4 linked regions of the Anolis sagrei genome follow. The protein of the gene in region 1 interacts with the protein of each later gene in a pairwise test. Links are inferred from orthologs where the notes say so. Each region holds a gene or a part of one and is shown in the gene's direction. Other genes may lie near its edges. The genes, in order: KAT7, VIM, NINL and DVL3.

Region 1 (7,530 bases):
CATTTGGGAGTTGTAGTTGCTGGGATTTATAGTTCACCTACAATCACAGAGCATTCTGAACCCCACAACAATAGAATTGAACCAAACTTGGCACACAATTCTCCCATGACCAAAAGAAAATACTGGAAGGATTTGGTGGCAGTGTCCTTTGGTTTTGGAGTTGTAGTTCACCTACATCCAAAGATCACCGTGGACTCAAACAATGATGGATCTGGACCAAGCTGTACAAGAATACTCAATATGCCAAAATGTGAACACTGGTGGAGTTTGGGGGAAATAGAATCTTGACATTTGGGAGTTGTAGTTGCTGGGATTTATAGTTCACCTACAGTGAAAGAGCATTCTGAACCCCACCGATAGAATTGGGCCTAATCTCCCACACAGAACCCCCATGTGGGCCACAGCAACATAAATAATAATAATAATAATAATAATAATAGAGAAATGTATATAGCTACAACCCAGTTTGCCCAAACCAAAAATGGATGCTCCTATTATGAGGAACAGAGGCTGGTTCCCAAAACAAAGATGGCGGATTCAGCACCGCTCTGAATTCAAACTCCCGATGCAACTGTGGTCAGTTTAGACTTTTGGGTAAGAACCAAGCTCTGCCCGGCTCAAAGATGGCCGCCCCTGTTCTTTCGACCCGAGGCCCTGCCCGGCTCAAAAATGGCCGCCGCTCCACGCGCGGAAGACGTCATTCCCCATTCCAAGATGGCGGGCGGCCGTCGGCGTGAGGTGAGGTTTGTCTGCGTCACGTGACGGGCAGGACGGGGGTGTGTATCTCCCCGCCGAGTGTCCCGGCGGAAGAGTGGAGGGAGTCGGCTGAAAGGTCGCCGCTGGGGGGAATCAGGCACCAGAGGGCGGCGCGGCCTGGCGCTGGGGGACCGGAGGCACGCCAGTCACGACGGACACCGCCGGAGCCAACGCGGCGGCCGGGGCGCAGCCACCCTCGCTGCCTCCGCCGCCGCCTCCGCCCAGGATGTCTCGCCGAAAGGTAAGCGGCGCCAGAAGGAGCCAAGCCCCTCCGCTCGCCTTCTCCTTCGCCCGCTTAGACCGCCAGGCTCGAAAACCAGTTAAAAACGTAGGCCTTCAAGCCCCTGCTTCAGCTCGCGGCGTGATTGGCTCCCTCTGCCTCCCGCCGCCACTTGAATGGCCGCCCTCGCCATCAGTTAGGGCAAGCCCCGCCTTCGACGGTTATTTGTTTCCCTCCTCCCTTTGGGTGGTTGTTGTGTCCCGCCTCCTTCCCGCCCTGATAGGCTCCGTTGCCGTCCTCTCATTGGTTGGCCTCCCTATCACTTCCTACTGGCGCGGTTTTCTTCTCCCCGCCTCCTTCCTCGCTTCAGACTTGGCTGTATGTGTTGAGGAAAGGCGCTGATTGGCTGCTCTGAATTAGCCTTCCCTTGCTCCTCATTGGATGGCAGGCAGCCGAACGCCCACCTCCTTGATGTTGTGATTGGCGGAGGAAGAAAATGCCTGAGATGGTTCAAAACAGAGCAAGCAAGATGGCCCAGGCAGGGTTGCAGAACAGGAATCAGTTTTGATTAAATATGGTTATACTCTTACATTTTTTTCTCATCATGGAACCATTTTAACTGCAGGATAAACCTGCAAAGGTATCATTTCCTTTTGATCAATCTAGTTAAGGCCTCTTCTACACAAACTCCACATTGAACTGGATTATATGGCAGTGTGGACTTGGGCCCTTCCAGACAGGCCCAGGATCCCAGCATCTGATCCCAGGTTTTATGTTTATCCCAGATTATCAGGCAGTGCGGACTCATATAGTCCAGTTTAAAGCAGAAAACCTGGGTTCAGATCCTGGGATACAGGGCCTGTCTGGAAGGGCGCTTCCACACAGCCATATAACCAAGACTATCAAGGCAGAAAATCTCACAATATCTGTTGTGAACTGTGTTCTGCCATATATTTCAGTTCAAAGCCAATATTGTGCGATTTTCTGCCTTGATATTCTAGGTTATATGGTTGTGTGGAAGGACCCTTAGATAACCCAGTCCAATGCCAATATTGTGGATTATCTGCCATGATATTCTGGGTTTTAATTATTTATTTATTTCTATCCCGCCTTTCTCCCAATTGGTACTCAAAGTGGCAAACAAACATGTAATGAAAAACATTGCAGAGCATAAAATTATGCATAATCATCACACCACAAACATATCTAATAAGAGGTTGTTGTAGGTTTTTCAGGCTATATGGCCATGTTCTAGAAGCATTCTTTCCTGACGTTTCGCCTGCATCTGTGGCAGGCATCCTCAGAGGATCCCTGCTATAGATGCAGGCAAAACGTCAGGAGAGAATGCTTCTAGAACATCGTCCTGTAGCCCGAAAAATCTACAACAACCCAGTGATTCCAGCCATGAAAGCCTTTGACAATACATATCTAATAAATTATAAAACTGGTGATGACATAATAAATAGATAACACAATTTAAACATTCAATAAAGTTAAAAGATTACACGGCTGTGGGAAAGAGCCCTTAGAGATTTCCATTTCAAGTGGTTAGATTCATTTTAGTTTCATACATAGTTTCATACAGCAAAAGATCCTCTGATACATTGAAACTGATATAATTTTGTTAACTTGTTATTGTGTCATTTCCACTCCAAGGTGACTCCAGTACAGGGGCTTTTTGGCGAAATTTGTCCAGGTGTGATTAGCCATTGCCTTCCCTTGAGACTGAGAGAAATTTAAGATGGATTTTAATATAAAACCACACAAGGCATATTTCCCAGACATCAGCTGAGACATTGAGTGCACGAAAGACTCATTTGTCAATTGGAATAAACATCACATGTTGTCTGTGCCAGCGTATGAAGATCTTATTGAAATTCATTGTCGCTATAGGTGATCCCTCGTGGCCAGGTATGGTCTTGGTGGTGGGCCTGTTAGTGACTAGAGACCTATTCTAGATCCACATGGGCTTTCGAGGAGACATATTTCCAAATGGAAAGCAGTCCCGACAAGGTTTTGCATGACACACCTTCCCTTTGACTCCTTTTTTCCTTTCGTCCTCTATTCATGCTTCTTTGAAAGCTACAGCACTGTTGGTAAGCTGACATCCAGTGAGAGCACTCAAGTGCCATGGAGTGTTTATTCCACGTATTTTAAAGATTAGCTTTAAGCCCATCTTTAAATCTCTTTTGCTGTCAATCAACATTCCCTTTTCCATTGTTGAGCTGAGAGTAAAGTAACTGCTTTGGGAGATGGTGATCAGACATTTGGACAACACAGCTGCTTCAGCGAAGTTGATGGTGTAGGATCATCTCTTCCGTACTGATGGTCTTTGTTTCCAGAATGCTGACATTTGTCCACCTGTCCAAAGACATTTTTGAAGGCAACGCTGATGGAATTGTGCTAGAAGTTGAGAGTAACATTTGTAGACATTCCATGTATCACATGTGTACAACAGAGTTGGAAGTATAAAGGCTTTATAAACAAGCATCTTGGTATCCTTATGAATGCCCTTATCCTCAACAGGGCTTCATTTGAAAAAATGCTGCACTCACAAAGCTCGAATGGTGTATTTTGGCATCAATGTCAACTTTTGTGGAGAGATGGCTAAATTCAGTGTACCTCAGCTTTTTGAATCTGTACCACTGAATGACTTTTGGGTAGGACTAGTAGCCAGAAAGACCATCCAAGCTCTGCTCCCCTTTGTGTCCACCTGTCGATGTGAATTAGGTTTTCCAGTGTATATTTACATCAAAAACAAATACAGAAGTAAGTTGGATTCCACCCCAGATCTTCAAATTTATCTGTTGGACATAAAGACCAGTTTCAGAACTATTCTTAGTACAAAAATTAAACACTCTAATTCATGAAATAATCCAATATTTTCTTGGTTGAAATAAAGGTTTGTGGTTATATTTAAAGTATTTCCAAAGTAAAGTATTTAAAGTATTTTGGTATTATCCAAAAAACTTTGTGGGTTCACAAGCTAAAAATCAAGGATAGAATTAGGGTACCATGGAGGGTGGGGATAGGAATGCCTTCTGAATGGTTCCATGGCAGAAGATGTTTGGAAACTTCTGCTGTAATCCAAAACTGCCAGATATTCTTTTGGAGATTATAATTTCAGACTCCTAGTTCATATACATAGCTCCTACTGGAATAAATAGAATAATTTTCTTAACTAGCTTGATTGAGCGGTAGTATTTGTTTTTCAATTATAAAGTGATGAATCAAGAGTCACAGCACATTTGTACTCTGCTGCTATGTATTGAGTATACAGACATCGTTGGAAAATATTCTAAACATTTGTATCTTTCAGTTCTTCAAGTGCATCTTTTAAGTATGTACGAGGGTTGAATGAAATGTAATGCCTCTACCTTCGTAACTCCTCAACAGATGGCAGGTACTGGCTTGTTCAGTAGACTCTCCTCTACAGTTCCGTTTTGGTGGGAAGCCTTAGCATTGAACGGTTGTGTTGTTAATGTGCGAAGTATGGAACCCTGCGAAGATGGTTGATCAATGCAACTTAAGCAACATGCAGTTATTGAATTCTTGACAACAGAAGGTGTCACCCCAAAGGAGATTCATCAGAGAATGCAAGCTGTCTATGGTGATTGTGTTGATGTGAGTACTGTGCGTCATTGGGCGAGTAAGTTTAAAGATGTTGAGGTGGGAACATCTGGCTTGCGTGATAAACAAAGAGTTGGACATCCTGTGACAGCAACCACCGAGTTTCACAAGCAAAAGGTTGACAGATTGATTCAGGACGATTGTCATATCACTCAGAGAGAAATTTCAAGCATCATCAGCATTTCACGAGAACATGTGTGTCACATTATTGCTTTGCTTGGCTATCAGAAGATCTGTGCACGATGGGTACCCAGGTTGAGAGAACTGTGAGACGCTGGTTGCGGAAACAGAGAGTTGACGTCTTCTGTGATGGCTTCAGAAAACTTGTTTATCGTTGGCAGAAGTGTATCCAATTGTCTGGTGATTATGTGGAAAAGTGAATAGTGGTAGTTAAAGAGCACATTCTAAGGATTATTTCTGCGTTCGATTTATTAAAATATTCCCTTCCAAACCCAAGTAACAAAGCTGGAGGCATTACTTTTCATTCAATCCTCATATTTATCTTACTAATGATTTGCTTTTACATGTGCTGAGGCTTGTCAAATCTATATCTGCTTAGTGTTAACATTGCTGCAAGAGTAAATTCTCCCAGACTACTCCTCTTTAACTCTTTGGAGTCCCCTTAGCGTTCTCTTCCTTCCCTGGCACCTGTTACCCAATTTGTGTCACGACACAAAACACAATTGTAAACGTTATCTAATTGAATAATTTAAGATGCTTATGATCACAGTTCTTCTTCAGGTGCATCAACACTGTAGAATTGATGCAGATTGGTACCACTTTTAACTGTCATGGCTCAATTCTATGGAATTGTGGGAGTTGTCGTTTTTATAAGGAAAATCAAGACCTGTTTATGGGACCAAGCATTTGATCAGTGAGCAGCAAGTGGAAGAAGATCACACAACTTATGGCAATGAATTGACCTGGACTGGTTTTTAAATTTCGATTTTAATGGATGTGTCTTAATTAATTGTTTTGATTGTTGTTTTGATTTTTAATATTTTGATTGTATTGTGGTTGTTTTTATGATGCTAGCATCATATGATGCTTTTGTTAGGCCACCCTGAGTCCTCTTTCGGGGAGAAAAGGGCGGGGTATAAACATAGGAAAAAAATAAATATAATAAATAAATAGTCTAGTCTTGTCTGCCAAAGAGTATTAGTGCTCCAGCAAACTACAAATTCTATGATTCTGTAGCATTGGGCCATGGCAGTTAAAGTGGTGTCAAACACATTAATTCTACAGTGTTTCCTATATTGATTATTAAATCAACAGTGACAACTGTCCCCAAAGAAGTTGTTTCAGGTTTCTGAACCTGAACCGCTGTGAGTCGCCTTCGGGTTTGAGATACAGCAGTATATAAGCAAAGTAAATAAATAATAAATAAAATAAACTAGACTGCATGACATATAGGTTAAGCTGTTTGCTGTGTGTCTGTGAAGACCATTTTAAATGCTAGCTGTATTTGAACTTGAGTGGCGAAGGGACCACTGTGATGATCACATGGCTGTCATTGTGTTAATCCTACCTCAAATCCCACATTTGCTCTTAACGTATTATTGCTCCCAGGATTCCCACTGGAACCACTTCCTCTGTGTTTGAAAATAAGGCTGGGTTGTTTTTGCACGTACACTCTGAGACCTGACCAACAATAAAGAAAAACGTTACAGCTTTTGCACAGAGGCATATCAAACAACACAAAATATTAGAATGCCATAAAGCTCAATAAGAGTTTTACCCACATATCGCTTTACCCACATAGAGGACATTAAATCAGCAACAACGACAAGTGACACTATGTTCAGACGCGTCTTTGTATGTACCTTTTCATAATCAAAATCTGTAATAATCTGTAATAATGTATCAGTGAAATAGAATGGGAAGATTGGGGGTGATTCATTCACTAAGAATAGATGATCTTATGGCACTTAATTATCCCACATGTATTCAAATAGTCACATCTTGCAGTTGTTGTTTAATTGAGAGTTTAGCATTGGTAAAACCAAGACTTCTTATACATGACTAAGAAAACCCTAGAATAGCCACTAAACAATACAAAACTTTTCTGTGAGGTAAGTGGCACCTCACTGGTGCAATCAGCATATATACATATGCATATATGAGAGAGAGAGAGGACGACACTTTTTACCTCCAGGGCACAAACATATGTGACTGCAGTTTCCCTTTATTTTAATATACCATTAATCTGTTAACTGTACAGCACTGTCTACCCTCACACACTCTTTTGTTGTCTTTTTGGAACTTGATTCTTTTTTCTCTCTGACTTCTGAATCCTGACCCTGTTGTTCTCTTTTCCTTGCACATCATTCTAACAACACCTCCTACTCACACTCTGTTAGCTTTTCATCATCCATATACAAATGACACTCCACATTCTTGATTTAGTCTTCAGGCATATACTTTGAATCATACTTATCATCTAATATCACAATATGTGTGCAGTGGATTATTGAAAATTGCATTATAATCTATGTAACGTTAGCAAGGTCTCAACCCTGTTTGTGTGGGTGGCTATGAAACAGGCTAATGCTTAGAAATGTTGTCTTCCTAAGAAACAGTGTTGCGCATAGTTCCTTGCATAGAGAGCTGATGATCATTTGGTGCAACATGATGAAACAACTTTCTGGATTGTTTGGATTTACCAGTAAGTTCTCAGAACTCCAGTCACCATGATCAGTGTAGGAATTGTGAGGACTAAAACTGAAAACAGCAAGAGTTTGTCAGTGGTTTCTGATTGACTATATGAAAAAATAAGTTTAAGACCATTGCCTTGAGATCTGACTTCCAATTCACATCAGACTGATGGTGGAGGATTATGGGAGTCTTTAAATACCTGCAAACCTTAGTTACTTCCCTGTGCATTGAGGCATGGAGATATCTTCCTTATAAGCGTTGACTTGGGG
Region 2 (7,534 bases), about 74 Mb from region 1:
ATGTGGTGTACTGGTATGAGTGCTGGGCTAGGGGTGCATCTACATCTTAAATGAATGCAGTTTGACACTACTTTAACTGCCATGGCTCAAAGCTATGTAATCTTGAGGTTTGGAATTAGGTGAGGCACTTGGTAACTTTGGCAGAGAAGGCTAAAGACCTCATAAAACTACAACTCCAATTATTCCATAGTATTGAACCGTGCTATCTAAAGTGGTGTCAAACTGCATTAATTCTACAGTGTAGAAACATCCTATGACTTCCTTTTCAGCTATGAAAATTAAGTGGGTGATCTTAGGCAAGTCATACTCCCTCAGCTTTTTGAGGAAGGCAAGGACAAACCTCCTCGGAATAAATTTCAGAAAGAAAACCCCAGAATAGGGTGATGAGTCCCTAGCACACATACCAACAAGAAACTTCCTATGGAACTCAGTGGATTGACTCCCTGACCAATGACCACATCTATTAGCAGAACTGATTTTGAAAGATGTAAGTCAGCAAGTGTATTTGCAGATGAAATTTGTGCTGTGCAACCGCTTTGCATCATGAACAGGATACTTCCTCTTTTTTTCTCCATTTCTTATGAGAAATAAAAAAAAAGATCAAGAAAAAACAGGATAGCTGCAGAAAGCCTTTGGGCCTAAATCTGTCCACCTGAGAACACGCTGGATGCATCTACTACACTATAAAATGAATACAGTTTGATGCAACATTAACTGTCACAGCTCAATGCTATGGAATCATTGCAGTTGTAGTTTTAGAGCCTTTCCACACAGCCACATAACCCTGAATATCAAGGCAGAATAACACACAATATGTACTTTGAGCTGGGTTATCTGAGTCCACACAGCCACATATTCCAGTTCAAAGAAGATAATGTGGAATTTTATTCAATGTGTGGAAGGGGCCTTAGAAACTCTTAAGCAGATAACCTGCGATTTTATTCAGCTGTGTGGAAGGGGCCTTAGAAGCCCTTCAGCCCTTTCTGTCAAAAGAGTGCAGGTACCTCAACAAACTACAGATCCCAGGATTCCATAGCACTGAGCCATGACAGGTAAAGATCTGTCAAGATGAATTAGTTTTACAATGTAGATCTGCCACAGCTTCCTTCCCCTTTCTGAGGAAGTTATTGCCTTATTATTATTATTATTAAAAAGCAGCACAATATACAAGTGTCTCCAGCAGAGTCAGGCGGAGGCAAGAGGCAAGTCAGCCAAGCAAACAGGACTCCTCTCTGGCATCAGATAAACTCCCATGTGGACATGGCTGATAAGCAAGCATGCCTTTCTTGTGCATCTCAAAGAACATGAACTTGGCCCTGAGGAGCTGGAAATAGCGGGTACACCTACACTGCAAAATAAATGCAGTTTGACACCACTTGAATGGCTATGTCTCAGTGTTACACAATCTTGGAAGCTGTAGTTAGGTTTAAGGTTAGGGTTTGGTTTAGGGTTAGGATTAGAGTTAAGGGTTAGGGTAAGGGTTAGGATTAGAGTTAAGGGTTAAGGTAAAGTTTAGGGTTTGGGTTAGGATCAGGGTTAAGAAGGTTAAGCTTAGAGTTAGGTTTAGGTTTAAGGGTTAGGGTTAGGTTTAGGGTTAGGATTAGAGTTAAGGGTAAGGGTTAGGATTAGAGTTAAGGGTTAAGGTAAGGTTTAGGGTTTGGGTTAGGATCAGGGTTAAGGGTTAGAGTTAGAGTTAGGTTTAGGGTTTTACCATGAAAGAACGATGAACTATGAATATCTGTGTTCCGTTCTGTGTTGCGCAAATAGCGCTCCCGAAGGAGCGAAGCGGAAACAGCGTAACGCTCTGAGCTTCCGGACCCAGCTTTCATACTATTACCGGGATTTTATTCAGTTGTGTGGAAGGGGCCTTAGTCGTTGATTTGGGAGGATGCTTGTGGGGCTGTTTTCTTTACTATTGTCCAAGTGCTTGGTCGTTTTTGTAAGTGCGCTTGCTGTTGGTGTGCGGATATTAATGAAGAATCTCTTCTCAAACACCCAGCCCAACTTTGTTGCAAGGGCGAAGAGGAGGAGGAAGAGGAGGGGGAGAAAGTGCCTCCTTCTAACCCAAGGGGAGGGGGGGAGGGGAGGTGATTGACGGCGGGGAAAAGCCCTGCGAGGGGAAAGGCGGAGGAGGGGACGGTGGCTGCAGCGGTCGGACAAGGGCCAGACTCCTGATTGATGGAGGAGGAGGAGGAGCAAAGTAGAAGCAGAGGAGAGAAGGAAAGAAATCGGGGGAGCCAAGGGTGGAGCTCATTGTTACCAACGTTGCCGGACATGGCGAGGAAAGCCGCCCCGAAAACGAAAAGTGAACCAAGACACTGAAAAGTTTGCGAGGCGCGCCATGGCGGCAGATAGAGCGGAGTCTTGAGGGGGAGCCCTGGAAATGTTGGGCGCCTCTACACCATGCATGGGCCAACTTGGGCCCTCCCTCCAGGTGTTTTGGACTTCAACTCCCACCATTCGTAATAGTCTCAGGCCCCTTCCTTTCCCCCCTCAGCCGCTTCTTCTAATAAATATCGAAGCCCAATTCACTTCCTCTCCGAAGTCCTTCCCAACTTGCAGAAAAGCTTTCCCATAAACCAAAGAAGCCAGTTTAAAGGGTCTCTCCTCTCCAGGCGAAACTGGGTCAGCCTTGGCTAGAAAGAGAGTTAAAGATTCTTTCGTCTCTGAGGCCCTTTCTACACGGCTCAATATAATCCCACATTATCTGCTTTGAAGTATACGGCAGTATGGACTCGGATAACCCAGTTCAAAGCTGATACTGTGGGATATAGGGCTGTGTGGAAGGACCCTGAGGGAAAGGGAGTGGTGTTACTAATGGTGGTTCTTCTCTTTGGGCTGCAGTGCTAAACTGACTCAAACTTCGTCAGAAAGCAGAGTGCTGTCACTGAGCTGGGACTGAGGCCCCTTCCACACAGCTGAATAAAATCCCACATTTTCTGCTTTGAACTGGAATATATAGCAATGTGGACTCCAATTACCCAGTTCAAACATGATATTGTAGGACTTTCTAATTTGATATTCTGGGTTATATGGCTCTATGAAAGGGCCATAAATGGAGTCACTAATGGGTTTTGTTTTTTACACCTAAGTAGATGCTTGTTCTAGACTGGTTCTTTACTCTATCCCAGGATCTAAACCCAGATGATCTTTTTGTCCCAGATAATTTGGCAGTGGAGACTCATTTAATCCAGTTCTAAGCAGATTATCTGTGGCCCCTTCCACATTAAAACCTCATGTTATTTGCTTTGAATTGGAATATATGGCTGTGTAGACTCAGATAACCATCCACACACCTATTTAACCCAGAATATCAAGCCAGAAAATCCTACAATATCTGCTTTGAACTGGGTTATCCGAGTCCACACTGTCATATATCCCAGTTCAAAGCAGAAAATGTGGGGTTTAATTTAGCTGTGTGGAAGGGGCCCCAGTTCAAGCAGATATTGTGGGGATTTTCTGCCTTGATATTCTGGGTTACGAGTCCACACTGCCATATATTCCAGGGCCCTTCCACACAGCCCTATATCCCAGAATATCAAGGCCAAAAATCCCACATTATCTGCGTGTGGATTCAGATAACCCAGAGCCCTTCCACACAGCCATATAACCCTGGCAGAAAATCCCACAATATACCCCAGTTCAAAGCAAATAATGAGGGATTTTACTCAGCTGTGTGGAAGGGGCCCCAGTTCAAAGCAAATATTGTTCGATTTTCTGCCTTGAAAATCCAACAATTTTCACCACAAATGAAGAGAGATATTGACAAGCTGGAATGTGTCCAGAGGAGAGCGACTAAAATGATCAAGGGTCTGGAGAACAAGCCCTATGAGGAGCGGCTTAAAGAGCTGGGCATGTTTAGCTTGAAGAAGAGAAGGCTGAGAGTAGACATGATAGCCATGTATAAATATGTGAGAGGAAGTCATAGGGAGCAAGTTTGTTTTCCGCTGCTCTGGAGACTAGGCTTCAAACTACAAGAAGGGAGATTCCACCTGAACATTAGGAAGAACTTCCTGACTGTGAGAGCTGTTCAGCAGTGGAACTCTCTGCCCCGGAGTGTGGTGGAGGCTCCTTCTTTAGAGGCTTTTAAACAGAGGCTGGATGGCCATCTGTCAGGGGTGCTTTGAATGCAGTTTTCCTGCTTCTTGGCAGGGGCTTGGACTGGATGGCCCATGAGATCCCTTCCAACTCTATGATTCTATGATATACTGGGTTATGTGGCTGTGTGGAAAGGTCCTGAGATGGATGAGATCCTTGGATACAGGGCAGCCTAAAACACTAGTCTTGGGCCTCTGGGCTGGGTTGGGACTGCGAGGGAAGGAAGGAAGGGAGAGGAGGAGGAGGAGGGGCCTCTCATCATCCCTCCCCCCCTCTTTCCCCCCTCCCTTCAGGGGTCCCAAAGGCCCCGTGAGTCATCCTTGGCCGGCTTTGGGGCCTCCTGATTGGCTCTCCGGGCGCTTGTTGGACGGGAGGGGCGTGCCCGGGGTATAAAAGGCGCTCCTCCTCGGCCCGCAGCGCCTTTCTTGCCTTGCGCACCTGCAGCAGAAGCCTTCCACGCCGTCTCCTCCTCCTCCTCCTCCACTCCACACACTTTTGGGATTACAACAACCATGAGCACCACGAGCAGCCAGCGCACCTCGTCTTACCGCCGCATGTTCGGAGGCTCCGGCCGGTCCAGCATGGGGGGTGGTGGAGGCGGCGGCGGCACCCGCTACGTCTCCTCTTCCTCGACGCGCTACTCCCTGGGCAGCGCCATCCGGCCCAGCAGCGTGCGCCTGGTCTCCTCGGCGCCCGGCGGCGGGATCTACGCCTCCAAGTCGGTGCGCTTGCGGTCCAGCATGCCCGCGATGCGCCACTTGGGCGACGCCGGCGTGGACTTCTCCCTGGCCGACGCCATCAACACGGAGTTCAAGGCCAACCGCACCAACGAGAAGGCCGAGCTGCAGGAGCTCAACGACCGCTTCGCCAACTACATCGACAAGGTGCGCTTCCTGGAGCAGCAGAACAAGATCCTGCTGGCGGAGCTGGAGCAGCTCAAGGGCAAAGGCACCTCCCGCCTGGGAGACCTCTACGAGGAGGAGATGCGCGAGCTCCGCCGCCAGGTCGACCAGCTCACCAACGACAAGGCGCGCGTGGAAGTGGAGCGGGACAACCTCAGCGACGACATCCTGCGCCTCCGGGAGAAGTAAGCGCGCGACGGGCAGGGCGGGCAGGGCAGGGCAGGGCGCATGCGCGGGGGAGAGGCCAGCAGAGGGCTGGTGGGTTTGTGGGACAGGTGTCAAGTCTAAGGGCCCTTCCACACACACAGCCCTATATCCCAGAATATCATGGTAGTATGGACTCATAACTCAGTTCAAGGCAGATATTGTGGGATTTTCTGCCTTGATACTCTGTGTGGAAGGACCCTAAATTGGAGGGAGAGGTGAATCTGCTCTTTCGGACTAATGTCACAACTTAGTTTTACTTGTATACCACTTTTCCATTGATACACAATGTACAATTACGAATATAATACTACTACTAATAATAATAGGTAAAGGTTGTCACCAGACATTAAGTCCAGTCATGTCGGACTCTGGGGGTTGGTGCTCATCTCCATTTCTAAGCCGAAGAGCTGCCGTTGTCCATAGACACCTCCAAGGTCATGTGGCCGGCATGACTGCATGGAGCATTGTTACCTTCCTGCCAGACAGGCCCCTAGGATTTTGATTCGGGGGGGGGGGGCTGAGTTTGATTCAGGGGGGGGGCTGCGTCTGAGTGAAAGAGGGTCTACCCTAGCAAACCTTTTGTATCGTTACCCCAATACCCCCATGCATATGGGATATATTGAGTATGGTGATCAGATCATGATATGAATAAACATAACAGTTTAAATAATGCACCAGTAAGGCCTTTTCGCAGACCATCATGAAAATTTGGGGGGGGGGGGGCTGAAGCCCCCAAGCCCCCCCCCCCCCGGCTACATGCCTGATGCCAGAGCAGTGTCTATTAATCTACTCACATCTGTTAGGTTGGCAGAAGCTGGGGCTGACAGTGGAAGCTCATGCCACTCCCTGGATTTGAACCTGCAGCCTTTCGGTCAACAAGCTCAGCATCTTAGCGGTTTAACACACTGCACCACCAGGGGCTCCCAGTAATAATAATAATATGATACTATAATTATATATTTATAATATATGTAATATTACTAATAATATTACAATATAATGTTACAGTACAATATAGTAATATTTAATACTGATATTGTACTATGCGAATAATATATATTGTATATATATATGTCTTGTAAGCTGCTCTGATTCCCCTTGGGGTGAGAAGGGCGGCATATAAATGTTGTAAACAAACAACAAGCAACAATTACAGACCTGGAAAATAAACATTAAAAATGGAACTTAACAAAGAATAGGCCTGGGCAAAGTTTGGTCCTCCAGGTATTTTGGACTCCAACTCCTACCATTCCTAACAGTCTCAGGCCCCTTCCTTTTCCCCCTCAGCCACTTAAGCGGCTGAGGGAGAAAAGGAAAGGGCCTGAGGCTGCTAGGAATGGTGGGAGTTGGAGTCCAAAATACCTGGAGGGAGGGCCCAAGTTTGTCCATGCAAACTAGAGACCTTTGTAAGATTTACAACTCCCAGCATTGAGCCATAGCAGTCCAAACTATTTCAGCACAACTAGAGAATGAATCCACTTTAAATCTGGTTTCTGCCTCCTGCAGAATTCTGGGGTTTGTAGTTTAGTAAGGCTGTTAAATGTTCCTCCCTAAACTACAAACCCCAGAACTCTGTAGGAAGCAGAAACTGGATTTAAAGTGGATTCGTTCTCTAGTGTGATGAGCACTCTTTAGCCATCTTGAATCCCTATATTTGAAGGAAGGTGGGATAAGAATAAAGTAAATGAATAAGTAAGCTTGTTGGATAGGGTGAAAGGGCTGAGGTAAGGATAATTTCAAAGCATAGGCACCACCTCACTGGGGCCCCTTCTACATAGCTGAATAAACCCCACATTATTTGCTTTGAACTGTGATATATGGCAGTGTGGACTCACGTAACCCAGTCCAAAGCAGATATTGTGGGTTATCTGAGTCCACACTCAGATAATGTGGGATTTTCTGCCTTGATATTCTGGGTTATATGGATGTGTGGAAGGGCCCTGGGAGTCCTGCAGAAGACAGGCAGAACTTCTCTCCTTCCTCCAACACTCAGATCCTAAGCATTGATAAACCTGAACCTAGCAGGTTTTAACTAGGGCCCCTTCCACACAGCTGAATAAAATCCCACATTATTTGCTTTGAACTGGAATATATGACTGTGGACTCAGGCAACCTAGTTCAAAGCAGATATTGTGGGATTTTCTGCCTTGATATTCTCTTGATATGGCTGTGTGGAAGGGCTCTAGAAGACACTGATGGGTATCTCAACACTGTAAAATGAATGCAGTCTGACACCGGGTTGTTGTAAGTTTTTTGGGCTGTATGGTCATGTTCCAGACCAGAAGCATTCTCTCCTGACATTTTGCCTGCATCTATGACAGGCATCC
Region 3 (6,954 bases), on another chromosome or scaffold:
TGTCCTGAGATGGTTTTTAAGCAACTTTTAATCTGAATATAAGTGACTTTAATGTTTGTATATATTTATGGTTTTATATCCCAGCATTGAATATTTGCCGTATATATGTTGTGCTCTGCTCTGAGTCCCCTGCGACGTGAGAAGGGCGGAATATAAATGTTTAAATAATTAAATAATCTGTACTTACTGTGCAATTACGTCTCTTCCTTTAATGATCTGTTTGATTGCTCTCTGCTGGATAGCTGAAGGTTTCTCAAAGCCTAGAAAAGCCATTTAAAATTCATTTAGCATCCCTTTCCACTTACAGATCAAACCCCAAAACATGAACATTTATGACATTTATATGCCGCCCTACTGTAATATAGCAATACTAATATATTAAATATAATAGTTACTACTGATAATATATAATAATATATAACGGTAGACTGTGTTATTGTTGTTATGTTTGTATAGATGGTTATAATGCGAGACAGAATGAGAATCTTGTCCCTCCCGGCTCACCGTAGGCGTAGATGCCTCGGAGGAGGTCCTCGCGCAGGCCCATGGTGTCGAAGGTGGGGGTGACGTCCACCTCTTCGCTGGTCTCGAACTCCACCTTCGTCATGTCTTCCTCCTTCAGCAGCCGCTTCCGAGCAGAGCCCGCCGTACCTCCCGTCGTCCCCGACATCCTTCCCGGCCGAGTCGTGCCTCCCGCCGCTTCCCTGCACGCGTTTCTCCCTCAGAGGCTCCGAAGGCCGCGCGTGAGAACGTGAGGAGATCCGCAACACCGCCGGCTAGGCCGCAACTGAACCGCGCATGCGCCCTCAGCTCTACTCCATGACGTAGATGGTGACGCACGACGTAAAACATACGTCCACCCAATGTTCGCTCCTTTCCAGAGAGTCCCAACAGACGCTAAAGAGACGAGAAGTTTACGCATGCGCTCCAACGCTCAGCCTCAAACAATCACTTACGCATGCGCTCTAACCCTTCCTCACCCTGTCTCAATGACGTCAGCAAACGTTCACTCCTCCCAATAGAGTCAGTAACGGGACTAGGCTTCACGCATGCGCGTTAATGCTTCTATCTGATTTAGCAACGCTCGCGCTTTGTAAAAAATAAAAGAGACACTTGCGCATGCGCATTAACGCTTTCTCAGTGACGCTCGCCCTAAAAGACGCTTAGCGACGTTCGCTTCCGCCCATAGAGATATAACTTATAGAGTCACAACAAGGAGGGATTCTTTTGTCTGGGACTTCATCTCCCAGAATTCCTGAGTGTTGGCCACGATGTGGGAGACTTCTGGGAGTTGAAGTCCGAAGTTTGCCCTTCCTCACCCTGTCTCCATGACGTCAGCAAACGTTCACTCCTCCCAATAGAGTCAGTAACGGGACTAGACTTCACGCATGCGCGTTAATGCTTCCATCTCTGATTTTGCAACGTTCGCGCTTTGTAAAGGTTATAGATACAGGAGACAGTTGCGCGTGCGCAGTAAAGCTTTCTCAGTGACTCTCGCCCTAAACATACGCTTACCGACGTTCGCTTCTGCCCATAGAGATATGTTTTTGATAAGAGTCACAACAAGCAGGGATTCTTTTGTCTGAGACTTCATCTCCCAGAATTCCTGGGTGTTGGCCACGATGTGAGAGCCTTCTGGGAGTTGAAGTCCGAAGTTTGCCTTTGCCTATCTCTGGGGCTGAGAGAGTGTGACTTGGATTTCTGTGGCTAAGCTAGGATTCGAACTCACATCTCCAGAGTCAGGGTGAGAACAAGCCCTATGAGGAGCGGCTTAAGGAGCTGGGCATGTTTAGCCTGAAGAAGAGAAGGCTGAGAGGAGATATGATAGCCATGTATAAATATGTGAGAGGAAGCCACAGGGAGGAGGGAACAAGCTTGTTTTCTGCTTCCTTGGAGAATAGGACGCGGAACAATGGCTTCAAACTACAAGAGAGGAGATTCCATCTGAACACGAGGAAGAATTTCCTGACTGTGAGAGCCGTTCAGCAGTGGAACTCTCTGCCCCAGAGTGTGGTGGAGGCTCCTTCTTTGGAAGCTTTTAAACAGAGGATGGATGGCCATCTGTCAGGGGTGATTTGAATGCAACATTCCTGCTTCTTGGCAGGGGGTTGGACTGGATGGCCCATGAGGTCTCTTCCAACTCTTGATTCTATGATTCTAGGGTCGAATCCTCAGATTATGAGAGCATGATCAGTGCTGTCCATCTACAACAGGCATGGGAGTTGTTTTGAACTTCAACTCCCACAGTTCCTAACAACCTCAGGCCCTTTCCTTTCCTTATGCCCAGTGTGGAACACATCCCATCACGTTAAAACAGTGGATGTGGCTCTTAAGGACACATGCCGCATTATCACAGGATGTCTACGCCCTACACCACTGGAGAAATTATACTGTTTAGAAGGGACAGAGAGTTTCATCTATGCTGACGATCATGCCATCACCACCCAAGCAGGGAGCTGTGAAATCGTTGAACAGAAGCTCTCCAAAGCTTTAGGTGGCCTTACTACCTATTACAGGGAAAACCAGCTGATTCCTAATCCATCTAAAATGCAGACATGTGCTTTTCACCTTAAGAACAGACAAGCATTTCGAGCTCTGAGGATTACCAGGGAAGGAATCCCACTGGAGCACTGCAGCACACCCAAATACCGGGATTGTGGCGCAGCTGGCTGAGTGTCAGCTGCATTAAAGATCACTCTGACCAAAAGGTCATGAGTTCGAAGCTAGCCCAGGTTGGAGTGGGTTTTCCAACCAATTGTGTGTAGCCTGTTGTCGACCTTTGCAACCCGAAAGACAGTTGTATCTGTCAAGTGGGAAAATTAGGTACCACATTAAAGTGTGGGGAGGCTAAATTAACTAATTTATGAGGCCATAAAGAAGACTCCAGCAAAGCATTCCAGCGGGGAAGCATGCGAGGAATGCGGAAGTACTTCATCAGTGTCGCAGATGGACAATGAAAGCGACAGCTCCCCTGGTGGCCAGAAAAAGTTAAATAGCCTCTGTGTATGTCTGTATATGTTTGTATGTCAAAAATTGGCAATGAATGTTTGCCATGTATGTGTACACTGTAATTCGCCCTGAGTCCCCTGCGGGGTGAGAAGGGCGGAATATAAAAGCTGTAAATAAATAAATAAATAATACCTGGGAGTCACTCTGGACCATTCTCTGACCTACAAGAAGCACTGCCTAGTTCCTGCTCATTCTATTGGTTCCCTTCTCTGCAATTGGTTATCTTACATGACATGGTCAGTGCAGTCAGGGAGGAGGGAGCAAGCTTGTTTTCTGCTTCCTTGGAGACTAGGACGCAGAACAATGGCTTCAAACTACAAGAAAGGAGATTCCATCTGAACATGAGGAAGAACTTCCTGACTGTGAGAGCCGTTCAGCAGTGGAACTCTCTGCCCCAGAGTGTGGTGGAGGCTCCTCCTTTGGAAGCTTTTAAACAGAGGCTGGATGGCCATCTGTCAGGGGTGCTTTGAATGCAGTATTCCTGCTTCTTGGCAGGGGGTTGGACTGGATGGCCCATGAGGTCTCTTCCAACTCTAGGATTCTATGATTCTATTTCTGAGCCTTTGTTGTTGTTGTTGTTGTTGTGGTTGTTGCTTTCCCCCTATTTTCCCAGCCTTGAAGTAAGATGCAAAGCACCTGATGGTGGGTATATTTACACTATAGAAAGAATACAGTTTGATACCATTTCAACTGCCCTGGCTCAATGCTATGGGATTGTGGGAATTGTAGTTTCACAAGGTCTCCAGCCTCCTCTGGCCAAGAGTGCTGGTGCCTTGCCAAACTACAGCTCCCATGATCCCATAGCCTTGAGCCAATGCAGGTCAAGAGGTGCCAAGCTGCATGCATTAATCCCACAGTGCAGCTGCAGCCAGGGACTCAAGAGGAAGAAGCAACAGCAGCCAATGCCAGGAGGAGGAGGAGGAAGGGAGGCAGGCAGGAGGAGGAGGGTGGTCTGAGGACGGGGGGCGGCCTGCTTAGCCCGGTCCAGCCCCGGGGAGGGGCCTCCACCCCTGGAGGGAGAAGCCCCGGCAAAGCACGCCGCTTTGGGCTTCGGAGGGACACAAAGGAGGCGGAGGAGAGCCTCTGGAGCAAGGCTTGGCTTCCCTTTCCCTGGAGATGCTGCTCCTGCTGCTGCAGTTTCTGCTCTGAGAGTCAAAGCAACAAGTGGGAGGAGGGCAGAGGTGAGTGCTGTGCTGGCTTTTGGGGTTCAGGGTTGCTCCTATGCAGGATATCTTGAAGATATCTCACTTCCACCTTGAGTATTGCGCTTGCTTTAGGGGTTCAGGGTTGCTCCTATTCAGGTAACCTATAGGACAGCCCACCTATAGGATATAATATAGAATGTCCCATTTTTACAAGAATATTGTGCTTGCTTTAGGGGTTCAGGGTTACTCCTATGCAGAATATCTTGAAGGTATCTCACTTCCACCTTGAGTATTGTACTTGCTTTGGGGGTTCAGGGTTGCTCCCATCCAGGTACCCTATAGGACAGCCCACCTATAGGATATAATATAGAATGTCCCATTTTTACAAGAATATTGTGCTTGCTTTAGGGGTTCAAGGTTACTCCTATGCAGGATATCTTGAAGATATCTCACTTTTATGTTGAGTATTGTATTGCTTTAGGGGTTCAGGGTTGCTCCTATTCAGGGGCCCTATAGGACACCTACCTATAGGATTTAGTATATAATATCCACCTTTAAAGGAATACTGTTCTTGTTTTAGGGGTCCAGGGTTACTCCTATGCAGGTGCCCTAAAGGACAGCCCACCTATATGATATAATATAGAATATCCTACTTTTACAAGAATACTGTGCTTGCTTTAGGGGTTCAGGCTTGCATCTATGCAGGGTCCTATAGGACAAACCACCTATAGGATATAGTATAAAATATCCCACCTTTACAAGAGTACTGTACTTGCTTTAGGAGTTCAGGTTGCTCCTATGCAGGATATTTTTAAGATGTCTCACTTCCACATTGAGTATTGTACTTACTTTAGGGGTTCAGGGTTGCTCCTATGCAGGGACTCTATAGGGCAGACCACCTATAGTATAGAATATCCCACCTTTACAAGAACATTGTGCTTGCTTTAGGGGTTCAGGGTTGCTCCTATGTAGGGGACCCTATAGGACAGACCACCTATAGTATAGAATATCCCACCTTTACAATAATACTGTGCTTACTTTAGGGGTCCAGGGTTGCTCCTATGCAGGGACCCTATAGAACGGCCCACATATAGGCTATTTTATAGAATATCCCACCATTACATAGGCTATTTTATAGAATATCCCACCATTACAAGAATACTGTGTTTGCTTTGGGGGTTCAGGGTTGCCCCACTGCAGAGACCTTATAGGACAGGCCACCTATAGGATATTTTATAGAATATCCCATCTTTACAAGAATACAGTGCTTGTTTTAGGGATCCAGAGTTGCTCCTATCCAGGGGCCCTATAGGACAGACCACCGATAGTATACAGTATAGAATATCCTACCTTTACAAGAATTCTGTTCTTGCTTTATGGGTCCAGGGTTGCTCCTATGCAAGGGCCATATAGGACAGACTACCTATAGGATATAGTATAGAATATTCCAGCTTTACAAGAATACTGTACTTGCTTTAGGGGTTCAGGGCTGCTCCTATGCAGGGGCCCTTTAAGATATAATAATAATAAGAAGAAGAAAAAGAAGTAAATGATGACGACTATGGAAAATGAAGAAGCAAAAATACTCAGGGATTTCGGAATCCAAACAGATAAACACCTGCCACATAACACATGAGATATGACAGTTGTGGAAAAAAACATATTTTTATCAGTACCAGGAGACAACAGAGTCGAGGACAAAGAGCTGGAAAAGATAATGAAATACAAGGAGTTACAACTTGAAATTGGATGACTATGTCAAAAGAAAACAGTGGTACCAATCTTAGTTGGTTTTCTTGAGGGCATTCCAAGAACCCCCCCCCCCCCAAAAAAAAAAAAAAAAAGCACTGGAAAGCACTTAATTTGGACAGAACTTCAATCCACATGCTGCAGAAGGCAACACTTCTCAGAACTGCGCACCTCTAATATTCTAGGCCTTTGGGAAAAGCCCGATATTCAGGGATGAATCTCAGACACTTGGACCTCATGTACATGTGTGCTGTGTTGTTATGTACATAGCAATAATAATAACAATAATATAATTTTATTTCTTACCCACCTCTCCACATGGCTCGAGGCAGGTCACAGCACAGTAAAAAAGCACACAAATACTACAAAATTTCTACAAACACACATATGAAAATGCAGTAATATCTCATCTTCATATTGAGTATTGCACTTGCTTTAGTGGTTCAGGATTGCTCCTATGCAGGGAACCTTTAACAGCCCGTCTTTATACAAGTACTCTACTTTCTTTAGTTATTCATAGTAGCTCCTAGGTAGGGGCCCATTAAAGTATCTCACCTTTATGTGAGTATTATACTTGCTTTAGTGGGTCATGTTTGCTCCTATGCGAGTGCACTCTACTTTTCTTACTCATTCAGAATTGCACGTGTAAAGGGGCCTTATTTAGGACACCCCACCTTGATGGGAGTGTTATCCTTGCTTTATGGGTTCAGGATTCCTCCTGTGCAAGGACCCAACTTTATAGGAGTACAAAACTCTGCTCCTATACTGGGTTTTTTTGGGATATTTCCACCTTTGTGGGACTACTGTACTTTTCTTTAACGGTTCAGGGTTGCATCTATTCTGGGACCTTATGGGATACCCCACCTTTATGTGGACACTGTATTTGCTTTAGTGTTCAGAATTGCTCCTATGCAGGCCCCCACCCATAGATAGCTTACCTTTGTATTATTGTATTATCAGTGTTTAATATTTTATGCTTTATGTCTAAATGTTATTTTATGTTTTAATTTGGTTAGGTTAATTTATAGTTATATGTTATTGTCTTATTATC
Region 4 (7,720 bases), on another chromosome or scaffold:
CTGAATTCTTCTATGACATCATTATTCATATATGAATGTTAAACTGAGATGATCCTGTTCCTGTTTAATTGCTCTGTTTCCATGATATCTCCTGTGCCATTTATGTTCCTATCCACTTTATTGAACTACTAGCGGTCCCCTGCCACGCGTTGCTGTGGCCCAGTCTGGTGATCTGGAAAATAAAGTAATGAGAAAGTGTGGGTTTCTAATATATGTAATGTCTTAATGCTTGTGGGTAAACAGTATTTCTTGCTGTTTCTTGGTCAGTGTTGATGTGGAGAGTGTCTGGTTTGCCTACTCTGGAACATGCAACATATCTTTGTCCTTCTTTAGGGGTCCCTTTCAAATCTATGATACTGCATCTGTCATATACATATGTGTGTTTGTGTGTGAATGGCTGGATGGTCCTTTGTCAGGAGAGCTTTGATTATGTTTTCTTGCCCTGGTGAAGGGAGTTGGACTGGATGGCCTTAAGGCAGCATTTCTCAACCTGGGAAGTCAAGACTCGGGGGGGGGGGGTCACCAGAGAGGTGTCAGAAGGGTCGCCAAAGACCACCAGAAAACACAGTATTTTCTGTTGGTCATGAGGGTTCTGTGTGGGAAGTTTGCCCCAATTCTATCATTGGTGGGGTTCAGAATGCTCGATTGTAGGGGAACTATAAATCCCAGTAACTACAACTCCCAAATGTCAAGGTCTATGTTCCCCAAACTCCATCTGTGTTCATATTTGGGCGTATTGAGTATTCGTGCCAAGTGTGGTCCAGATCCATCATTGTTTGAGTCCACAGTGCTCTCTGGATGTAGGTGAACTACAACTCGCAAACTCAAGGTCTATGCCCACCAAACCTTTCCAGTATTTTCTGTTGGTCATGGGAGTTCTGTGTGCCAAGTTTGGTTTAATTCCATCATTGATAGAGTTCAGAATGCTCTTTGATTGTAGGTGAACTATAAATCCCAGTAACTACAACTCCCAAACGTCAAGGTCTATTTTCCCCAAACAACACCAGTGTTGACATTTGGGCATAGTGAGTATTTGTGCCAAATTTGGTCCAGGCCCATCATTGTTTGAGTCCAAAGTGCTCTCTGGATGTAGGTGAACTACAACTCCCAAACTCAAGGTCAATGCCCACCAAACCTTTCCAGTATTTTCTGTTGGTCATGGGAGTTCTGTGTGCCAAGTTTGGTTCGTTTCTATCATTGGTGGAATTCAGAATGCTCTTTGATAGCAGGTGAATTATAAATCCCAGCAACTACAACTCCCAAGTGAAAAATCATAATGTTTTGAGTGATGGTCACTCCTTGTGTAGTGAGATGTTTTGTTGCCAAATTTGGTGTGATTTCGTTCATTGGTTCTTTTGTTTTTAAGCTACTCATTATGCACAGAGCATTTATATATATATAGATTTACTTTTTAATCAATTTGTATGTTGGCCTCCTTCCCCCTCCAAAATTTGGGTTGCTGTTGCTTGATGCTTGTTTATTACTGTTATGCTGTTTTGTGTCATTTTAATTTGTAACTTGTTGTTGCTTTGCTTTTAATTGTATGTTGCCTGGGCTTGGCCCCATGTGAGCCGCCTGAGTCCCCTTGGGGAGATGGAGGCGGGGTAGAAAAATAAAGTTCTTCTTCATCATCTGTTGGAACTAGGAAAATTGGGTTTATATCTCTGTGGAATGACCAGGGTGGGACAAAGGACTCTTGTCTGTTGGAGCTAGGTGTGAACGTTTCAACTGACCACCTTGATTAGCATTTGATGGCCTGGCAGTTGTTCGGCGTGGCTTGTTACTGCTTGGTGTATACCATGGAGCTGTGGACAAGTTACATAGGGACCACCAAACGCAGCAGCATTGCCCAGACACGACTCAAGGAACATGAAAGGCACTGCAGACTACTTCAACCAGAGAAGTCAGCCATAGCAGAGCACCTGATGAACCAACCTGGACACAGCATAATATTTGAGAACACAGAAATGCTGGACCACTCTCACAACCACCATGTCAGACTACACAGAGAAGCTATTGAAATCCACAAGCATGTGGACAATTTCAACAGAAAGGAGGAGACCATGAAAATGAACAAAATCTGGCTACCAGTATTAAAAAAAAGCCTCTAAAATTACAACAGCAAAACAACAGAGAGGAAACAATCAGGGACAGCTAATCACCTCTCAACAAAAGATTGCTCCAGGCACTAACAAGCCACACCAAACAACTGCCAGGCCATCAAATGCTAATCAAGGTGGCCAGTTGAAACATTCACACCTAGCTCCAACAGACAAGAGTTCTTTGTCCCACAGATATACAAACCCATTTTCCTAGTTCCAACAGACCTTACTGCCTCTGAGGATGCTTGCCATAGATGCAGGCGAAACGTCAGGAGAGAATGCCTCTAGAACATGGCTCTATAGCCTGAAAAAAATCTACAACAACCTATTGTTGTTGTATTGTCCTGGGCCCGGTCCTGTTCAACATCTTTATTAATGACTTGGATGAAGGGCTAGAAGGCATGATCATCAAGTTTGCAGACAACACCAAATTGGGAGGGATAGCCAATAGTCCAGAGGACAGAAGCAGGATTCAAAACGATCTTGACAGATTAGAGAGATGGGCCAAAACTAACGTAATGAAGTTCAACAGGGACAAATGCAAGAGACTCCACTTAGGCAGGAAAAACGAAATGCAAAGATACAGAATGGGGGACGAGGCCTGGCTCGAGAGCAGTACGTGTGAAAAAGATCTTGGAGTCCTCGTGGACAACAAGTTAAACATGAGCCAACAATGTGATGTGGCGGCAAAAAAAGCCAATGGGATTTTGGCCTGCATCAAGAGGAGCATAGTGTCTAGATCTAGGGAAGTCATGCTCCCCATGCTCTATTCCGCTTTGGTTAGACCACACCTGGAATATTGTGTCCAATTCTGGGCACCACAATTGAAGGGAGATATTGACAAGCTGGAATGTGTCCTGAGGAGGGCAACTAAAATGATCAAGGGTCTGGAGAACAAGCCCTATGAGGAGCGGCTTAAGGAGCTGGGCATCTTTAGCCTGAAGAAGAGAAGGCTGAGAGGAGACATGATAGCCATGTATAAATATGTGAGAGGAAGCCACAGGGAGGAGGGAGCAAGCTTGTTTTCTGCTTCCTTGGAGACTAGGACGCGGAACAATGGCTTCAAACTACAAGAGAGGAGATTCCATCTGAACATGAGGAAGAACTTCCTGACTGGGAGAGCCGTTCAGCAGTGGAACTCTCTGTTCTGGAATGTGGTGGGGGCTTCTTCTTTGGAGGCTTTCAAGCAGAGGCTGGGTGGCCATCTGTCAGGGGTGATTTGAATGTAATATTCCTGCTTCTTGGCAAAATGGGGTTGGACTGGATGGCCCATGAGGTCTCTTCCAACTCTAGGATTCTACACTGAACATGAGGAAGAACTTCCTGACTGTGAGAGCTGTTCAACAGTGGAACTCTCTGTTCTGGAGTGTGGTGGGGGCTTCTTCTTTGGAAGCTTTTAAACAGAGGCTGGATGGCCATCTGTCAGGGGTGATTTGAATGCAATATTCCTGCTTCCTGGCAGAATGGGGTTGGACTGGATGGCCCATGAGGTCTCTTCCAACTCTAGGATTCTACAGGAAAGGAGATTCCACCTAAATATGAGGAAGAACTTCCTGACTGGGAGAGGTGTTCAGCAGTGGAACTCTCTGCCCTGGAGTGTGGCGGAGGCTCCTTCTTTGGAGCCTTTCAAGCAGAGGTTGTCATAAGGGAGAGGGAGAAGCCTGGGCCCAAAGGATACGAAAGGATCTTCCCCCTGAACATGAGGAAGAACTTCCTGCCTGGGAGAGCTGTTCAGCAGTGGAACTCTCTGCCCTGGAGTGTGGTGGAGGCTCCTTCTTTGGAGGCTTTGAAATAGAGGCTGGATGGCCATCTGTCGAGGTTGTCATAAGGATGAGGGAGAAGGATACGAAATGATCTTCCCCCTGAACATTAGGTAGAAGTTCCTGACTGGGAGAGCTGTTCAGCAGTGGAACTCTCTGCCATGGAGTGTGGTGGAGCCTCCTTTGGAGGCTTTGAAGCAGAGCCTGGATGAGGGAGAAGCCTGGGCTCAAAGGATACGAAAGGATCTTCCACCTGAACATGAGGAAGAACTTCCTGACTGGGAGAGCTGTTCAGCAGTGGAACTCTCTGCACTGGAGTGTGGTGGAGCCTCCTTTGGAGGCTTTGAAGCAGAGCCTGGATGAGGGAGAAGCCTGGGCTCAAAGGGTACGAAAGGATCTTCCACTTGAACATGAGGAAGAACTTGACTGGGAGAGCTGTTCAGCAGTGGAACTCTCTGCCATGGAGTGTGGTGGAGCCTCCTTTGGAGGCTTTGAAGCAGAGCCTGGATGAGGGAGAAGCCTGGGCTCAAAGGATACGATGGGATCTTCCACCTGAACATGAGGAAGAACTTCCTGACTGGGAGAGCTGTTCAGCAGTGGAACTCTCTGCCATGGAGTGTGGTAGAGCCTCCTTTGGAGGCTTTGAAGCCGAGCCTGGATGAGGGAGAAGCCTGGGCTCAAAGGATACGAAAGGATCTTCCACTTGAACATGAGGAAGAACTTGACTGGGAGAGCTGTTCAGCAGTGGAACTCTCTGCCTCGGAGTGTTGTGGAAAGCGCCTTCCTTGGAGCAACACCCACTCTGAGGAGGCCGGAAGCGGAAGGGGCGGAGCCGCGCGAGGTGGGGGCGGGGCTTGTGTTGCTTGTGCTGCTGCTTGTGCTGCTGCTGCTTTTTGGGCCTGCAGGCGCTGCCGGAGCCCCGGGCTGGCGTGAGCGAGCCCCCCGAGGGAGAGAGCAGCCATGGCGGCGCCTCCAGCCGCAGCAGCAGTAGGAGCCTCCTCCTCCTCGTCAGCGATGGCGGAGACGAAGATCATCTACCACCTGGACGAGCAGGAGACGCCGTACCTGGTGAAGGTGGCCATCCCGGCCGAGCGGGTCACGCTGGGAGACTTCAAGGCCCTCCTCAACCGGCCCAGCTACAAGTTCTACTTCAAGTCCATGGACGACGACTTCGGGTGAGGCGCCCAGGCAGGCCCGCTTCCTCCTCCTGTCCATTGGCTTTTGTGTTGTGTCTGTCTGTCTCCCGCAAGGAGATAATCTGGGTTATATGGCAGTGTAGACGGAGATGTCCTCCCTCAAGAGGACAATGGACCTACGCCAAAGAAATAGTAGAATGTAATACTATATATTATATATATATGTAATATAATATAAAAAGAATATAATGTAATATGATAAATTGTATACACATATAATAGAATGTAATATAATATATTTTATGTACATAATGTAATATAAAAAGAATATAATAATATTATTGATGTAATAAATTGTATATACATATAATATGATATAAAAAGAATATAATATAATATATTGTATACACATAATATAATATAATGTGATATAAATGGTATATACATATAATATAATGTAATATAATATATTGTATATACATATATATAATATAAAAAGAATATAATGTAATATAATATATTGTATACACATAATAGAATATAATATATGTTGTATATACGTATAATATAATATAAAAATAATATAATGTGATATAATAAATTGTATATACATATAATATAAAGTAATATAATGTAATATCATATATTGAATATACATATAATATAATATAAAAAGAATATAATGTAATATAATATATTGTATACACATAATAGAATATAATATATGTTGTATATACATATAATATAATATAAAAATAATATAATGTGATATAATAAATTGTATATACATATAATATAAAGTAATATAATGTAATATATATTGAATATACATATAATATAATATAAAAATAATGTAATGTAATGTAATATATTGTATACACATAATATAATATAATATATATTGTATATACATGTAATATAATATAAAAATAATATCATGTGATTTAATAAATTGTATATACATATAATATAATATAAAATAATATAATGTAATATAATACATTGTATATACATATAATATAACATAAAATAATATAATGTAGTATAATATATTGTATATACATATAATATAATATATTGTATGTACATAATATAATATAAAAAGAATATAATGTAACAAAAAATATAATAATAAAATAAATATAATAAATTGTATATACATATAATATAATATAAAGTAATATAATGTAATATAATAAATGGTATATACATATAATATAATATAAAGTAATATAATGTATTATAATATATTGTATCTACATATAATATAATATAAAATAATATAATGTAATGTATTATATTGTATATACATATAATATAATATGTAATATTATTTTTATTGTATACACATATACAATAAAATATACATATACATGTATTGTATACACATATAATGTAATATAATAAATTGTATATACATATAATATAATATATTGTATGTACATATAATATAATATAAAAATAATATAATGTAATATAATATATTGTTTACACATATCATATAATGTAATATCATATATTGTATATGCATATAAACCAATGTAATATAATATATTGTATATACATATAATATAATATATTGTAGATACATATAATTAACATAATTCAAAAACCACTGGACGAATTGACACGAAATTTGGATACAATACATCTAACAGTCCAACGAGTGTCCATCACCCCTAAAAATACACACACACACACTCACACACAAAATCCCAGCAGAACAGACTTAAAACCCCCCAAAATACTCAATATATACATATACACATACACTCATATACATACACATATGCACACATTCATATACACACACGTATATATATGCACAAACACACACAAATATACACATATACACACATACATATACATACGCATACACACAATTATGCTTATAGACAAGCACACACATATACACAATGTGCATGTACACATATAAACACACAAATACACAAATATATACAGACACATATACACACACACATATATATATGAATATACATATATATATATGAACACATAAATATACACATAAACACATATAAATATATACAGACATATACACACACACACACACACACATATATATATATATGAATATACTTATATATATGAACACACAAATACACACACACACACATAAACACATATATACACACACAAAACACATATACACAGACTGGGCCACAGCAACGTGTAGCAGGGGATGGCTAGTTCTACTACTAATAATGATATTATAATTATATATTTCATATGACATGTAATATTACAATATAATGGTATAGTACAGTATATAATACTGATATTCAACTATGCTAATAATATATTGTATGTATATATATCTTGTAAGCCACTCTGTGTCCCCTTCGGGGTGAGAAGGGCGACATATAAATGTCATAAATAAATAAAGGCCTAAACCAGGCATGGGCAAACTTGGGCCCTCCAGGTATTTTGGACTTCAACTCCCACAATTCCTAGCAGTCTCAGACCCCTGAGGGGGGGGGGGAATGAAAGGGCCTGTGCCTGCTAGGAAATGTGGGAGTTGAAGTCCAAAACATCTGGAGGGCCCAAGTTTGCCCATGCCTGGCATAAACATTGCCCATGCCTGACCTCCATTGACTGCAGGAGGAAATAAATAATAATAAGAAACTTTATTTATATCCCACCATCATCTCCCCGAAGGGACTTCGGGGCGGCTAACATGAGGCCAAGCCCAAACAAATTA

Evidence for each region.
Region 2: the proteins of KAT7 (region 1) and VIM interact in binary tests that used the Homo sapiens proteins (3 or more experiments, as listed by UniProt). The link is inferred for Anolis sagrei from reciprocal best matches to the Homo sapiens genes KAT7 and VIM.
Region 3: the proteins of KAT7 (region 1) and NINL interact in a two-hybrid assay, tested with the Homo sapiens proteins (2 studies listed by BioGRID and IntAct). The two-hybrid records come from large-scale screens. The link is inferred for Anolis sagrei from reciprocal best matches to the Homo sapiens genes KAT7 and NINL.
Region 4: the proteins of KAT7 (region 1) and DVL3 interact in a two-hybrid assay, tested with the Homo sapiens proteins (2 studies listed by BioGRID and IntAct). The two-hybrid records come from large-scale screens. The link is inferred for Anolis sagrei from reciprocal best matches to the Homo sapiens genes KAT7 and DVL3.

Annotation. Positions count from the first base shown.
Region 1 is NC_090026.1:31,669,691-31,677,220, reverse strand, and holds the start of KAT7 (histone acetyltransferase KAT7), read left to right. Parts: upstream 1-4,521; 5' UTR 4,522-4,570; coding exon 4,571-4,600; intron 4,601-7,530. UniProt on the Homo sapiens protein: Catalytic subunit of histone acetyltransferase HBO1 complexes, which specifically mediate acetylation of histone H3 at 'Lys-14' (H3K14ac), thereby regulating various processes, such as gene transcription, protein ubiquitination, immune regulation, stem cell pluripotent and self-renewal maintenance and embryonic development.
Region 2 is NC_090026.1:105,844,145-105,851,678, forward strand, and holds the start of VIM (vimentin), read left to right. Parts: upstream 1-4,524; 5' UTR 4,525-4,610; coding exon 4,611-5,185; intron 5,186-7,534. UniProt on the Homo sapiens protein: Vimentins are class-III intermediate filaments found in various non-epithelial cells, especially mesenchymal cells. Vimentin is attached to the nucleus, endoplasmic reticulum, and mitochondria, either laterally or terminally.
Region 3 is NC_090021.1:21,905,916-21,912,869, reverse strand, and holds the start of NINL (ninein-like protein), read left to right. Parts: upstream 1-3,933; 5' UTR 3,934-4,190; intron 4,191-6,954. Other genes in the region: EIF4A3 (eukaryotic initiation factor 4A-III), read right to left, coding at 188-260, 505-670. UniProt on the Homo sapiens protein: Involved in the microtubule organization in interphase cells. Overexpression induces the fragmentation of the Golgi, and causes lysosomes to disperse toward the cell periphery; it also interferes with mitotic spindle assembly.
Region 4 is NC_090023.1:264,637,257-264,644,976, reverse strand, and holds the start of DVL3 (segment polarity protein dishevelled homolog DVL-3), read left to right. Parts: upstream 1-4,711; 5' UTR 4,712-4,822; coding exon 4,823-5,037; intron 5,038-7,720. UniProt on the Homo sapiens protein: Involved in the signal transduction pathway mediated by multiple Wnt genes.